Xenopus tropicalis: one gene and its partners. The protein of the gene in region 1 binds, or shares a complex with, the protein of each later gene. Links are inferred from orthologs where the notes say so. Each region holds a gene or a part of one and is shown on either strand. Other genes may lie near its edges.

Region 1 (4,968 bases):
TAATCACATGAATTACCCTTAAAACTGTGTAAACCCCCCCATAGGTATTGGCTATAAACTGCAGAGCAAGAGCAACTTTTGGCTGCTGGACGCCAGCAATATGTAAGCTCTTGTGCCATCCAGAGACGCTTAGGGGCAGCAGCAATAGGCTTCATAGGAGGTGCAATGTCAATAGTTAAAAGTGGGCTTCCCTTTGGCTGCTGCTTAAGGTTCGTGCCTAAATGTGCCCAATCTGGTGCCTAGTTTAGCACAAGCGCACACAGTGGCGCATACCTACCGAACATGATGTTGTACTCTGATTCGCCGTGCATTTCGGACTGCTCCAGCTCCGCAGGGAAAAGCTTCACGTATCCGCCGCCGCAGTCTATGTTCTGCTCGTGCTTTACGGAAAACTGGATGACAAGGGTCTTATCTTTGTTGGAGAAGGAATCAAAGCGGGTAGACAGGGCGTAGAAGCGGGCATCCTGGCTTGTCTGGAGACCTGGGCACGAGGGAGATAGATGTAGAGTTTAACTCAAAGCATTTACACAAACCCCCATCTACAGAAGTAAAGTGAGGGATATAACAGCCACCCCACCAGCAGAGGGCACTCACCTTTGTCCTTCTCTGCGTCTCCGTAGAACTTCCCGGCGCTTAGCTTGAACTTTCCATAGTCAGATTTGTGCTTGGATTCTACCCAGCGCTGCGACCACCCATCTGATAGAGAAGAACACGACAGGTTAAAGTTGATTCTTAGAATGGCTTACTGGGCTACTTCAATGTGCCACCCTACATACCCGAGCAGAAGGATGCCCAACTATCTGTGCCAGTTAGTACCATGCCCTCTTTCCATAGACGCATAGAGAGGCACAACCGGCGGCAGCCCATGCACTGCTAATGCATTCACTATATGGGCAATGGGAAAACCCCATCCTCAGTGGGCAGAGAGACACCCTACTCTGCTAATGCAGGGGCACCCTATATACATACATTGGGGGCACCCTACATACCTAGGCACGGGGGGGCACCCTACATACCTAGGCACGGGGCAGATCAAACTAGAACAGAAACTAGAAGCTACAATTACATACAATAAATATTCCCATAACCCCAGTTACAATTGGGTGCTACCATATTCAGCAGGGGCACTCCCCATAGGTGGGGGAATGGATCTCTGCCTAGCAAACATGGCATCTCCCACATCTTGTGCAGCTGTAATGCAAGCCGATGCCTAGTCACATAGTCCCAGACACAATGGCCACTCTATCCCCCCCCACAGCAGGCACCGGAGCATTACAAGCAATAAATACACACAATACTATCATTCTAACCAGGCTCAGGTAAGGATCCCTTATACTGCAGCATTCCCCATCACCTCCCCCCTCCACTTTCCCTTTCCTTATGTATAGATGGTAGGAGGGGCTAGAGCCGGCCATTAACCCCAGCTCCGCCTCCCCGCTGCTTCCAGAAGGTTCAGCAGGCACTCTCTGGGCTGCAGGGCCGGCTTTAATGATGCAAATACATGGGAAGGATTGGGGCAGAATACTATACACCACCATGTTCCGGCAGCTTCCATGTATGGGAAGGCCGACGTGACGGGCCCAGCTTGTATGAGCCTTACTGCATTACACAAAGCACCCACACCCACAACTCAGACCCGGGTGTCAGCGCAGGGCCACGCCCCCTCGGCCAGCTGTTCTGCCCCACAAATATTTGTACAGATGGCAGGGGATCCACTAGATTTGTTTGCAGGGGACACAGCCAAGGTTACAAACAGAACACAATTGGGATTTATTCAATGAGGAGGATCTGCAACATGCAGCATCCCCCCCCCCCTACTGAACTACACTTCCCAGCATCCCCCCCCCCTACTGAACTACACTTCCCAGCATCCCCCCCTACTGAACTACACTTCCCAGCATCCCCCCCTACTGAACTACACTTCCCAGCATCCCCCCTACTGAACTACACTTCCCAGCATCCCCCCCTACTGAACTACACTTCCCAGCATCCCCCCTACTGAACTACACTTCCCAGCATCCCCCCCTACTGAACTACACTTCCCAGCATCCCCCCCTACTGAACTACACTTCCCAGCATCCCCCCCTACTGAACTACACTTCCCAGCATCCCCCCCTACTGAACTACACTTCCCAGCATCCCCCCCTACTGAACTACACTTCCCAGCATCCCCCCCTACTGAACTACACTTCCCAGCATCCCCCCTACTGAACTACACTTCCCAGCATCCCCCCCTACTGAACTACACTTCCCAGCATCCCCCCCTACTGAACTACACTTCCCAGCATCCCCTCTATTGAACTACACTTCCCAGCATCCCCCCTACTAGCCCTACCTAAAGCCAAAAAGGTGCCCAGCCCATGTATAACTATGTAATCCAGCTTAATGCACATAATATAGCAATAATAATAACAAAATAAATATATATATATATATATATTTATATTATCTGGATCATGGTGAAGTCTGAATAGCAGCAGTTCCACTGCCAACACTATATAGGGATCTGTTACACCCTTTAGTAGCTAAAGCCCCTGGCCAGGAGAGGCTTCTGGGAGCTGTAGTGCAGCTACATAATACGTGAGCAAGAATGGGACAGCCAGCTGGCCTGAGCCAATGTAAAGGCATTACTGGCCAGGAGAGGCTTCTGGGAGTTGTAGTGCAGCTACATAATACATGAGCAAGTGTGGGACAGCCAGCTGGCCTGAGTCAATCTAAAGGCATTACTGGCCAGGAGAGGCTTCTGGGAGTTGTAGTGCAGCTACATAATACATGAGCAAGAATGGGACAGCCATCTGGCCTGAGCCAATGTAAAGGCATTACTAGCCAGGAGAGGCTTCTGGGAGTTGTAGTGCAGCTACATAATACATGAGCAAGAATGGGACAGCCATCTGGCCTGAGCCAATGTAAAGGCATTACTGGCCAGGAGAGGCTTCTGGGAGTTGTAGTGCAGCTACATAATACATGAGCAAGAATGGGACAGCCATCTGGCCTGAGCCAATGTAAAGGCATTACTGGCCAGGAGAGGCTTCTGGGAGTTGTAGTGCAGCTACATAATACATGAGGAAGAGTGGGACAGCAAGGTGGCCTGAGCCAATGTAAAGGCATTACTGGCCAATGAGGGGGGCTGTATTTGTATAACAGGGGGCAGGCATTATCACTACATAGGAGCTACAGCGCCTCAGTCACATACCCAGCCCCTCAGTGCTATCTATCCGTGCATCAATGGGCACTTGTATTAAGGGAAAGGCAAAAGAATGCGTTCTCTCTAGCTGAGCATGCCGGGAGCTGCAGTTAAACCCAGCCGTATTTTACTGTCCCTGCCTTCAAGCTCTAATGCCATGAAGTCGTTCCATACCTCCATCAGCGAACTCTTCCTTTAAGTAAACAGCAGGATCTGCGATGCACAGAGCCGCAAGCAGCGGCAGGATGAGGAAGGCAACGCGGGCCATGGTGATGCCCCTTCAAAAGACCTGTCAAGCACAGCGTCCAGGAACCACTAAGCACCTCGCAACCAGCGACAGCCGCTTATATATAGCTACGCCGCTCCCTCCCTCCGCCTGTCACTCCATTGGCTGCGGCCGCACCGGTGTCCGTTTCTGGTTGGGCCGGCCGCACTGCCATTCAGGGAACACAGATGGCTGCTTTTGATTGGTCCGGGCGATGACCAATGACCGTGCACCACGCAGGGGCCTCCTACTAGTCGTAAGATGGTTGGACGTCTCCTATAGAGACGGGGGTATGAGGGCTGGAACACGTGGTCTGCTGGATCACGTGATCTCCGGTTAGGTTGCACTAAATAATTAACCGGTAGTATTTTCATTTTTGTTGCATTCCTTCATGAATTAGTAGGAGCGCTCTGTATTAATGGGACGGCTCTTTGATTTTTTGTTTATTATTGAATGCCTTTGTATTGCTTGGCTGTAAGTACTACTACAACTGGGGGACTTTGCCCCTAACTGCCCCCACACAATTGCTGGCAGGGTCAGGGTTCTGACTGCACCATGGGATATTCAGTCTGCAAAGGGGGCAGAGATGTTTGGGTTGAATGAGTGGTCAGACCAAGGCACCTATGCAGTGTGAGTGCCAATGTTCCCATTGCCCAACTGTAGCTAAGATATTCAATCAGAGTCGGTGCGATTTTGTATATGTTTGGGTGGGGGAGATAACAATATGTGGCCCCCATCTTTCCCCTGGCTCAGCTCCTTTCTCTAATTCCCCCTATGCCCAGCCTTGTACTGTCCCAACCTGAATTGCCCAAATTCTAAGCAATAAACTTTGGACCCAATGTAAACAGATTGTCAGCCAGGCATTGCCTTAACTCCCCATACACACATACACTTACCTGACCCCTCCTGCAAGCAATATCCAACATTACTGTTACAGGGCTAGTTCCCCTTTACATTAAAGTGATAGTGATATTCCTTTTGGTACTTTAGCTCTTTGTTCAGGAGCTCTCCACTTTTGTTAATCCAGCAGCTCTCCGGTTGCTAAGCTCCAGTGTACCCTTGCAACCAGGCAAACTCCTAAAATGTGTTTTCATGGCAGTTTATTTGCTACCAGCAGTGCTGTGTTTGGCATCTTTTTGTTGACTAAACAAAGCCCAACCCCCCATCCTGTCTAAAAAGGCGATTGTGGTGTGCTCAGTGCCCTCAAGAATTCTCCCCTAAGTTGTTTCCCAATCACTGCAGTCATTTCTGATCACTGACCCTGGGGAAGAAGCCATCAGATCAGCCTTCAGACTACATGAACTGTATGTTTATTTTCTTTTTGGGTCATTGTAACTATGTAACTATTTCTATTTCCTGGGGATACTGGCCCTTTAATTTTATATTTAACTCTTAAATAAAAGTACAAGTAGTCTATGTCTGGCTACCAGGTGAGGGGGTGTGGACGCATTGCCATATACCGTGGCACACAATGGGTAAGGCATCCGGCTCTCGGAACAATGGGTTGCTACAGTGTTTA
Region 2 (4,860 bases), about 14 Mb from region 1:
AAGCTGATAAAGGGAATGGGCTCAGTTATGGGGAAAGGCTGGCCCAGTTGGGATTGGTTACACTGGGGGGGGGGCAGTTAAGGGGGGGGGGTTACTATATATAAATATATAAGGGGGGGGGGCAGTAGGAGGGGGCACTCACACACACACTCACTCTCTCACTCACACTCACTCTCTCACACACACACTCACTCTCACCCTCACTCTCACACACACACTCACTCTCACACACACACTCACTCTCTCACACACACACTCACTCTCACACACACTCACTCTCTCACACACACACTCACTCTCACACACACACTCACTCTCACACACACACTCACTCTCACAAACACACACACTCACTCTCACAAACACACACACTCACTCTCACCCTCACTCTCACACACACACTCACTCTCACACACACACTCACTCTCACACACTCACCCTCACTCTCACACACACACTCACTCTCACCCTCACTCTCACACACACACTCACTCTCACCCTCACTCTCACACACACTCACTCTCACCCTCACACACACACTCACTCTCACCCTCACTCTCACACACACACTCACTCTCACCCTCACTCTCACACACACACTCACTCTCACACTCACTCTCACATACACACACACACTCACACTCACTCTCACATACACACACACTCACTCTCACCCTCACTCTCACATACACACTCACTCTCACAAACACACACACTCACTCTCACCCTCACTCTCACACACACACTCACTCTCACCCTCACTCTCACACACACACACTCACTCTCACACACACACTCACTCTCACACACTCACTCTCACCCTCACTCTCTCACTCACACTCACTCTCACACTCACACTCTCACTCACACTCACTCTCTCTCACACTCACTCTCTCACTCACACTCTCTCACTCACGCTCTCTCACTCACACTCACACTCTCACACTCACGCTCTCTCACTCACACTCACACTCTCACACTCACTCTCACACTCACTCTCTCTCTCACACTCACTCTCACACTCACACACACACTCACTCTCACACTCTCTCACTCACACTCACGCTCTCTCACTCACACTCACACTCACTCTCACACTCTCACTAACACTCACTCTCTCTCTCTCTCTCTCTCACACACTCTCTCACTCACACTCACGCTCTCTCACTCACACTCACTCTCACACTCACTCTCTCTCTCACACTCACACTCACTCTCACACTCACACTCACACTCACTCTCACACTCACTCTCTCTCTCACACTCACTCTCACACTCACACTCACTCTCACACTCACTCTCACTCTCACACTCACACTCACTCTCACTCTCACACTCACACTCACTCTCACACTCACTCTCTCTCTCACTCTCACACTCACTCTCACTCTCACACTCACTCTCACACTCACTCTCACACTCACTCTCTCTCTCACACTCACTCTCACTCTCACTCTCACTCTCACTCTCACACTCACTCTCACACTCACACTCACTCTCTCTCTCACACTCACTCTCACACTCACTCTCACTCTCACACTCACACTCACACTCACTCTCACACTCACTCTCACACTCACTCTCACACTCACTCTCTCTCTCACACTCACTCTCACACTCACTCTCACTCTCACACTCACTCTCACACTCACTCTCACACTCACACACACACACTCCCACTCACGCTCTCTCACTCACACTCTCACACTCACTCTCACACTCACTTCTCTCTCACACAAACAGAATGAAACAGACTGAAAGGTTTCCGTTCCAATCGCACAAGTGAGTGAAGGGGCGGGAGGGGCGGTTGCTATGGTTACAGAGCTCCGGGCCCGATATGACGCAGCGGCTGACGTTGGGAAGGCGGAGCCACGATGCGGAAGTGGGGGGCGGGGCTCGGCCTGTTTATTTCCTGTCAGTGTCAGTCCTGAAAACAACAGGAACCGAAACTCCAATCGCAGTCTCGAACCGGTACCGCCCGGAGAGTCCGCCATGAAGTTCGTGTATAAAGAGGAACATCCCTTCGAGAAGCGCCGCTCCGAGGGGGAGAAAATCCGCAAGAAATACCCCGACCGAGTCCCGGTGTGTGACATACTGCCCCCGGGGCAACTACTGGGGCAGGAACCTTCCTCTGGGGCAGGAACCTTCCTCTGGGGCAGGAACATGGGGAGAGACTGGGGGTATAACATGGGGAGAGAGAGAGACTGGGGGTATAACATGGGGAGAGAGAGAGACTGGGGGTATAACATGGGGAGAGAGAGAGACTGGGGGTATAACATGGGAGAGACTGGGGGTATAACATGGGGGGAGAGAGAGACTGGGGTATAACATGGGGAGAGAGAGAGAGACTGGGGTATAACATGGGGAGAGACTGGGGGTATAACATGGGGAGAGAGAGACTGGGGGTATAACATTGGGGAGAGAGAGACTGGGGGTAATAACATGGGGAGAGAGAGACTGGGGGTAATAACATGGGGAGAGAGAGACTGGGGGTATAACATGGGGAGAGAGAGAGACTGGGGGTATAACGTGGGGAGAGACTGGGGGGTAAACATGGGGAGAGACTGGGGGTATAACATGGGGAGAGAGAGACTGGGCGGGTTATAACATGGGGAGAGAGAGACTGGGGGTATAACATGAGAGAGAGAGACTGGGGGTATAACATGGGGAGAGACTGGGGGTATAACATGGGGAGAGAGAGACTGGGGGTATAACATGGGGAGAGAGAGAGACTGGGGGTAACATGGGGAGAGACTGGGGTATAACATGGGAGAGAGAGAGAGACTGGGGTATAACGTGGGGAGAGAGAGAGACTGGGGGTATAACATGGGGAGAGAGAGAGACTGGGTATAACATGGGGAGAGAGAGAGAGACTGGGGTATAACGTGGGGAGAGAGAGAGACTGGGGTATAACGTGGGGAGAGAGAGAGACTGGGGGTATACATGGGGAGAGAGAGACTGGGGGTATAACATGGGGAGAGAGAGAGACTGGGGGTATAACATGGGGAGAGAGAGAGACTGGGGGTATATACGTGGGGAGAGAGAAGACTGGGGGTATAACATGGGGAGAGAGAGAGACTGGGGTATAACATGGGGAGAGAGAGAGACTGGGGGTATAACATGGGGAGAGAGAGACTTGGGGGTATAACATGGGGAGAGAGAGAGACTGGGGGTATAACATGGGGAGAGAGAGAGACTGGGGGTATAACATGGGGAGAGAGAGAGACTGGGGTATAACATGGGGAGTGACTGGGGTTACATGGGGAGTGACTGGGGGTATAACATGGGGAGTGACTGGGGGTTATACATGGGGAGAGAGAGAGACTGGGGGTATAACATGGGGAGAGAGAGAGACTGGGGGTATAACATGGGGAGAGACTGGGGTATAACATGGGGAGTGACTGGGGGTATAACATGGGGAGAGAGAGAGACTGGGGGTATAACATGGGAAGAGAGAGACTGGGGGTATAACATGGGGGAAGAGAGAGACTGGGGTATAACATGGGGAGAGAGAGAGACTGGGGGTATAACATGGGGAAGAGAGAGACTGGGGTAGACTGGGGGTATAACATGGGGAGAGAGAGAGACTGGGGGTATAACATGGGGAGAGAGAGAGACTGGGGGTATAACATGGGGAGAGAGAGAGACTGGGGGTATAACATGGGGAGAGAGAGAGACTGGGGGTATAACATGGGGAGAGAGAGAGACTGGGGGTATAACATGGGGAGAGAGAGAGACTGGGGTATAACATGGGGAGAGAGAGAGACTGGGGGTATAACATGGGGAGAGAGAGAGACTGGGGGTATAAACATGGGGAGTGACTGGGGGTATAACATGGGGAGTGACTGGGGGTATAACATGGGGAGAGAGAGAGACTGGGGGTATAACATGGGGAGAGACTGGGGGTATAACATGGGGAGTGACTGGGGTATAACATGGGGAGAGAGAGAGACTGGGGGTATAACATGGGGAGAGGAGAGAGACTGGGGGTATAACATGGGGAGAGAGAGAGACTGGGGGTATAACATGGGAGAGAGAGAGACTGGGGTTATACATGGGGAGAGAGAGAGACTGGGGGTATAACATGGGGAGAGAGAGACTGGGGGTTTAACATGGGGGAGAGAGAGACTGGGGGTATAACATGGGGAGAGAGAGAGACTGGGGGTATAACATGGGGAGAGACTGGGGTATAACATGGGGAGAGAGAGAGACTGGGGGTATAACATGGGAGTGACTGGGGGTATAACATGGGGAGAGAGATGGGGGGTATAACATGGGGAGTGACTGGGTATAACATGGGGAGTGACTGGGGGTATAACATGGGGAGAGAGAGGACTGGGGGTATAACATGGGAGAGAGAGAGACTGGGGGTATAACATGGGGAGAGAGAGACTGGGGGTATAACATGGGGAGAGAGAGAGACTGGGGGTATAACATGGGGAGAGAGAGAGACTGGGGGTATAACATGGGGAGAGAGAGAGACTGGGGGTATACATGGGAAGGAGAGAGACTGGGGGTTTTAAACATGGGAGAGAGAGAGACCTGGGGGTATAACATGGGAGAGAGAGAGACTGGGGGTATAACTCGGGAGAGAGAGACTGGGGGTAAATAACATGGGGAGAGACTGGGGTATAACAAGGGGAGAGACTGGGGGGTATAACATGGGGAGAGGAGGACTGGGGTATAACATGGGGAGAGAGAGAGACTGGGGGTATAACCATGGGGAGAAGAGAGACTGGGGGATAACATCGGGGAGAGACTGGGGTAATAACATGGGCAGACTGGGGTATAACAATGGAGAGAGAGAGACTGGGGGTATAAATGGGGAAAGAGAAGGACTGGGGTATAACATGGGGAGAG
Region 3 (5,012 bases), on another chromosome or scaffold:
CAATTTCAATATCAATTTCTGTAGTCACCCCCAGGCCTGATTACTGCCACACCTGTTTCAATCAAGAAATCACTTAAATAGGAGCTACCTGACACAGAGAAGTAGACCAAAAGCACCTCAAAAGCTAGACATCATGCCAAGATCCAAAGAAATTCAGGAACAAATGAGAACAAAAGTAATTGAGATCTATCAGTCTGGTAAAGGTTATAAAGCCATTTCTAAAGCTTTGGGACTCCAGCGAACCACAATGAGAGCCATTATCCACAAATGGCAAAACATGGAACAGTGGTGAACCTTCCCAGGAGTGGCCGGCCGACCAAAATTACCCCAAGAGCGCAGAGACAACTCATCCGAGAGGCCACAAAAGACCCCAGGACAACATCTAAAGAACTGCAGGCCTCACTTGCCTCAATTAAGGTCAGTGTTCACGACTCCACCATAAGAAAGAGACTGGGCAAAAACGGCCTGCATGGCAGATTTCCAAGGCGCAAACCACTTTTAAGCAAAAAGAACATTATGGCTCGTCTCAATTTTGCTAAAAAACATCTCAATGATTGCCAAGACTTTTGGGAAAATATCTTGTGAACCGACGAGACAAAAGTTGAACTTTTTGGAAGGTGCGTGTCCCGTTACATCTGGCGTAAAAGTAACACAGCATTTCAGAAAAAGAACATCATACCAACAGTAAAATATGGTGGTGGTAGTGTGATGGTCTGGGGTTGTTTTGCTGCTTCAGGACCTGGAAGGCTTGCTGTGATAGATGCAACCATGAAGTCTACTGTCTACCAAAAAATCCTGAAGGAGAATGTCCGGCCATCTGTTCGTCAACTCAAGCTGAAGCGATCTTGGGCGCTGCAGCAGGACAATGACCCAAAACAAACCAGCAAATCCACCTCTGAATGGCTGAAGAAAAACAAAATGAAGACTTTGGAGTGGCCTAGTCAAAGTCCTGACCTGAATCCTATTGAGATGTTGTGGCATGACCTTAAAAAGGCGGTTCATGCTAGAAAACCCTCAAATAAAGCTGAATTACAACAATTCTGCAAAGATGAGTGGGCCAAAATTCCTCCAGAGCGCTGTAAAAGACTCGTTGCAAGTTATGGCAAACGCTTGATTGCAGTTATTGCTGCTAAGGGTGGCCCAACCAGTTATTAGGTTCAGGGGGCAATTACTTTTTCACACAGGGCCATGTAGGTTTGGATTTTTTTACTCCCTAAATAATAAAAACCCTCATTTAAAAACTGCATTTTGTGTTTACTTGTGTTATCTTTGACTAATAGTTAAATGTGTTTGATGATCAGAAACATTTTGTGTGACAAACATGCAAAAGAATAAGAAATCAGGAAGGGGGCAAATAGTTTTTCACACCACTGTATATATATATATATATATAAAAAAAAAAAAATATATATATATATATATATAAATGTATATTTTATATATATATATATATATATATATATATATATATATATATATATATATATATATATATATATATATATAAATGTAGCAGGTTATATAGGTTACTGAAAAAAATATATATAGATATATCAACTGTATGTGGGTTAATTGGAAAACATATATATATATATATATATATTATATTATATATAAATATATATATGTTTTCCAATTAACCCACATACAGTTGATATATCTATAACTAAACATAGATTATGTAACTTGTATGTTATTGCACATGAGTTCCCCCAGCACAACAAGCTCTGACAGATGACAAGTAACTCCCGGCCAGTGGTGCCATGAAGCTCCAGTCCAGGTATTACTCCGCGCTTCTCTCTCCCCCATTGCCGAATGATGATTCCAAGTGTCGCGCAAAGGCCGGACTGGATCGCGTTGTGACCAATCCCCCGGCGGCGGCCAATCTTCCCTGACAAGCTGTGCCTCCCGCCTGCCCGCACACGCCGCAGCACAGGCCCATTATTGGTCGCTTCCCCCCCACCCCCCCCCATGTAGGCCGACTTGGTGGATCCGCCCGGAAGTGCCGCCATTTTGGATCCTCTGCGCACAGGGAGAGTGAGAGCGGAGCGTGACCCGGGGGACGGCGAGCGGGAAACGGGAGCTGAGGGCGGCTCTCCCCCCACCCGGTAAGGGCTTGCAGGGAGGCGGGATCTCTTAGTCCGGGTTCATGGACAGGGGTTTCTGTCACCTCATTCTCGAAGGAGTTGTTGCTGGGTAACGGGATCTCCGCCCCACCCCGCTCCTCCTGAGTAACGGGATGTAAGGGCCGGGCGCGGAAACTAGCTGTACTGTACTGTGCTACTGCTGCCCATTACCCTGTCCCTCCTGCCTCAGTATCCCATAGGGGCTGCAGCCGGGCTACACGCACCGGGATCCCCTGAGGCGCTGCATGAGGTGCCTGTGCATTGCCCCTGTACTTGTTACCCCCCCAGCTGCCTGATTGCATCCCAGATACCCCAGGCCTGGGCACCCTGCAGCCCTCCAGCTGCTGCTAAACGTATAGGGTGTTCCCCCCTGCTGCATGGTCTCTCCCTGCTACTTTGTTTCAGGAGTCTGAACCAACAGTGCACCAACAGGTGGCTTGTGTTTGCCCCACACTAACCCCTTCCCATGGGAATAGGGACTTGCCCTCTGGCCTGGGAGCTCCAGCATGTGGCTTTACTCCACGGACAGTGATTGCTGCATGTTTTTTTGGATTCCTAGAAACCTCCATGTAAGCCTTCACCTCATTGGCCCAGGCATTAAGGGGTATCTCAATAGCCACTGTTTGTATGTCTAACACTTTCAAGGGGATCATGCCCCCACTAAAGGAGTGCCTTTGGCAGTGCCAGCAGGGTTGGTAGGGAATGCCCAGGCTGTGCAATAGATTCCCAGTGCTGAGGCTCAGGGTGACTTTAGCTTCCAGACAGGCCTCACGCTAGAGCTGGGCAGTATGACCAAAAATTTATATCACGGTATTTTTCAAAATTATATCGGTGTCGCGGTATTTGACGGTATTTTTTTTTTTCCATGCATGATTAGGTGTTAACCCCATTTCCTAATAAATTAGAGAATAATTACTACTGTATTGAAAATCAGAGTCAGGCAAGCGAAGGATCGGCAACAGAAAGTCGTAAGGCAGGCTTAGTTTCCCAGGCAAGGCTGCAGACAACATAGCACAGGAGGAGGCGTTTGATAGCTTTAAATACCCCCCCACGCATGCGCAGAACCGGCGCCACGTCACAGACGTGCACGCTTTGACATGTACGTGCGCTTTGACGCTCCTATGCAATGTCCCGTGGACAACGGGACATGCGCGAGATGGGTGAGTACCCTGACACCCCGGTATTGCGGTATCTGAAAAATGAATATAGTTTTAAAAAGAAACACCGGTATTCGGTATTAAACGGTATATCACCCAGCCCTATTTCATGCTTATTTTTATTCCATAGCAACCATCCTGCCTGCCCCTGTGTAATTGTATGTCCGTTCCCTGGTTGCCAGACATCTCCAGTTCCTGGCCCCATCAGAGGTTCCGAGCTTTGGCCAGGGCCACTTTATGTTATAACCTGTAGAAGCCATAGTTCCAGGTATATGGGGAAAGGTTTTCAACCCAAATCTCACCCTAATTGACCTTCAGGTGTATATTGGAGAGCAAATAGGCATTCACCCCAAAATGTTTGCCTTAGCAGTGATACCCGCGGCACCACTGGGACACGTTGGTGACCTACTTTCCCTGTTGAGTCTGGGGAGGCACTGTGGGGCCTCACATGCACTGTTGGTTCCGCTGGGTGCCTGACCGTGTGTATATTGTATGTGACGACTCCTTCATGCGTGTGACAGGCCCTAATGGGAGGCCGTGCAATCTTCATTCTGCATGGTTGCTTACATGTGTCTGTTTTTTAATTAGTAATGGTAACATTGGCAGTGCCTAGCAGCACGTGGCCGCAGAGGTGAATGGGGATTGGACTGCATGGTGTGCATGGGTAACTGCCAGTGCACTGCATGGGATGTGCCGGGAACCTAAGTATGCTGTGTACTTCAGGCTTAACCATTATAACCTGTGCAGTTTATTTTCCAGCTCTGCTGAGCGGAGCATAGGGAATATAAAGTGCCCAGCTTTCCAGATCCCATCGCTTGCAACTCCCTGCTGTTCCCTAGCAAAGAATTCTGGGAGCTACGTGACATTCTTTCCTCGGTGCCTTTTGTCTTGTTTAATCTTATTGTATTTCTCTTATCTATTATATCAGGCTTTACTCCTGTCTCACCCCCCCCCCCCCCCCCCCAGCAACAAGCCCCATACTCTTTCCTATGTAAGCCTGGAAAGTGCTTCTCCTTCCTTACATAATCCGCATGTCATTGGTTCCTATGCCCCCTACCTCCAGAGTAATTACACTTACACAATTAGGTCTTTCTGCCCCACAATCAACTGATACCGGCTTAGGAATTCTTTCCTTTAATACCCTTAATTTTCTTGTATCATTTGGTTTTTGCCTTCTCTTAGGTTAGATAGAATTAAACTGCCCGTATATGCATGGTGGGCTGACAATCCCAACTGATATTCATGTATTGTGTATATTGGTTGGTTCACCGATTGGGCAATATATTGGCTGGGTGTTTGAGTGAGTCTGCTTATTAGCCCTGGTACTTCAGTACTGATGCCCCCTGCTGGCTACGCCACAGAGCTGTGGATTTTGTAGTTTGGCTGTACCAGCTGGGTTTATGGGCTAGTGTCGTGGCTATCACTCGTGTAAGCATATTACTTAATTGGGGACAGTTTGTCAGTCAGTTTGCTAGTAGTTTCTTTTGATAGTCCAGCCCAGTGATCCCCAACCAATGACTCAGGGCAACATGTTGCTCACCAACCCCTTGGATATTGCTCTCAGTGCCCCCAAACCAGGTAGTTATTTTTGAATTCCTGACTTGGGGGCAAGTTTTGGTTGAATAAAAACAAGATTTCCTACCAAATAAAGCCCACTGTAAGCTTATAGTGTGCATAGAGGCTGCCTAATAGCCAATCTTAGCCCTTATTTGGCACCTCCATGAACTTT

The links.
Region 2: the proteins of calr (region 1) and gabarap are in contact, whole or in part, in a crystal structure (PDB 3DOW), measured with the Homo sapiens proteins. The link is inferred for Xenopus tropicalis from reciprocal best matches to the Homo sapiens genes CALR and GABARAP. Residues at the interface, in NP_004334.1 of Homo sapiens: Asp199, Trp200, Asp201, Phe202, Leu203, Pro204, Pro205; in NP_009209.1 of Homo sapiens: Glu17, Ile21, Tyr25, Arg28, Pro30, Val31, Ile32, Lys48, Tyr49, Leu50, Val51, Pro52, Leu55, Phe60, Leu63, Ile64, Arg67, Phe104.
Region 3: calr (region 1) and celf1 share a complex: the UniProt entries of both Homo sapiens proteins name them as parts of the EIF2 complex. The link is inferred for Xenopus tropicalis from reciprocal best matches to the Homo sapiens genes CALR and CELF1.

Annotation. Positions count from the first base shown.
Region 1 is NC_030679.2:139,717,786-139,722,753, forward strand, and holds the start of calr (calreticulin precursor), read right to left. Parts: upstream 3,487-4,968; 5' UTR 3,453-3,486; coding exon 3,359-3,452; intron 697-3,358; coding exon 595-696; intron 482-594; coding exon 278-481; intron 1-277. UniProt on the Homo sapiens protein: Calcium-binding chaperone that promotes folding, oligomeric assembly and quality control in the endoplasmic reticulum (ER) via the calreticulin/calnexin cycle.
Region 2 is NC_030679.2:153,335,968-153,340,827, reverse strand, and holds the start of gabarap (GABA(A) receptor-associated protein like 1), read left to right. Parts: upstream 1-1,892; 5' UTR 1,893-1,992; coding exon 1,993-2,082; intron 2,083-4,860. UniProt on the Homo sapiens protein: Ubiquitin-like modifier that plays a role in intracellular transport of GABA(A) receptors and its interaction with the cytoskeleton.
Region 3 is NC_030680.2:16,143,369-16,148,380, forward strand, and holds the start of celf1 (CUGBP Elav-like family member 1), read left to right. Parts: upstream 1-2,044; 5' UTR 2,045-2,108; intron 2,109-5,012. UniProt on the Homo sapiens protein: RNA-binding protein implicated in the regulation of several post-transcriptional events. Involved in pre-mRNA alternative splicing, mRNA translation and stability.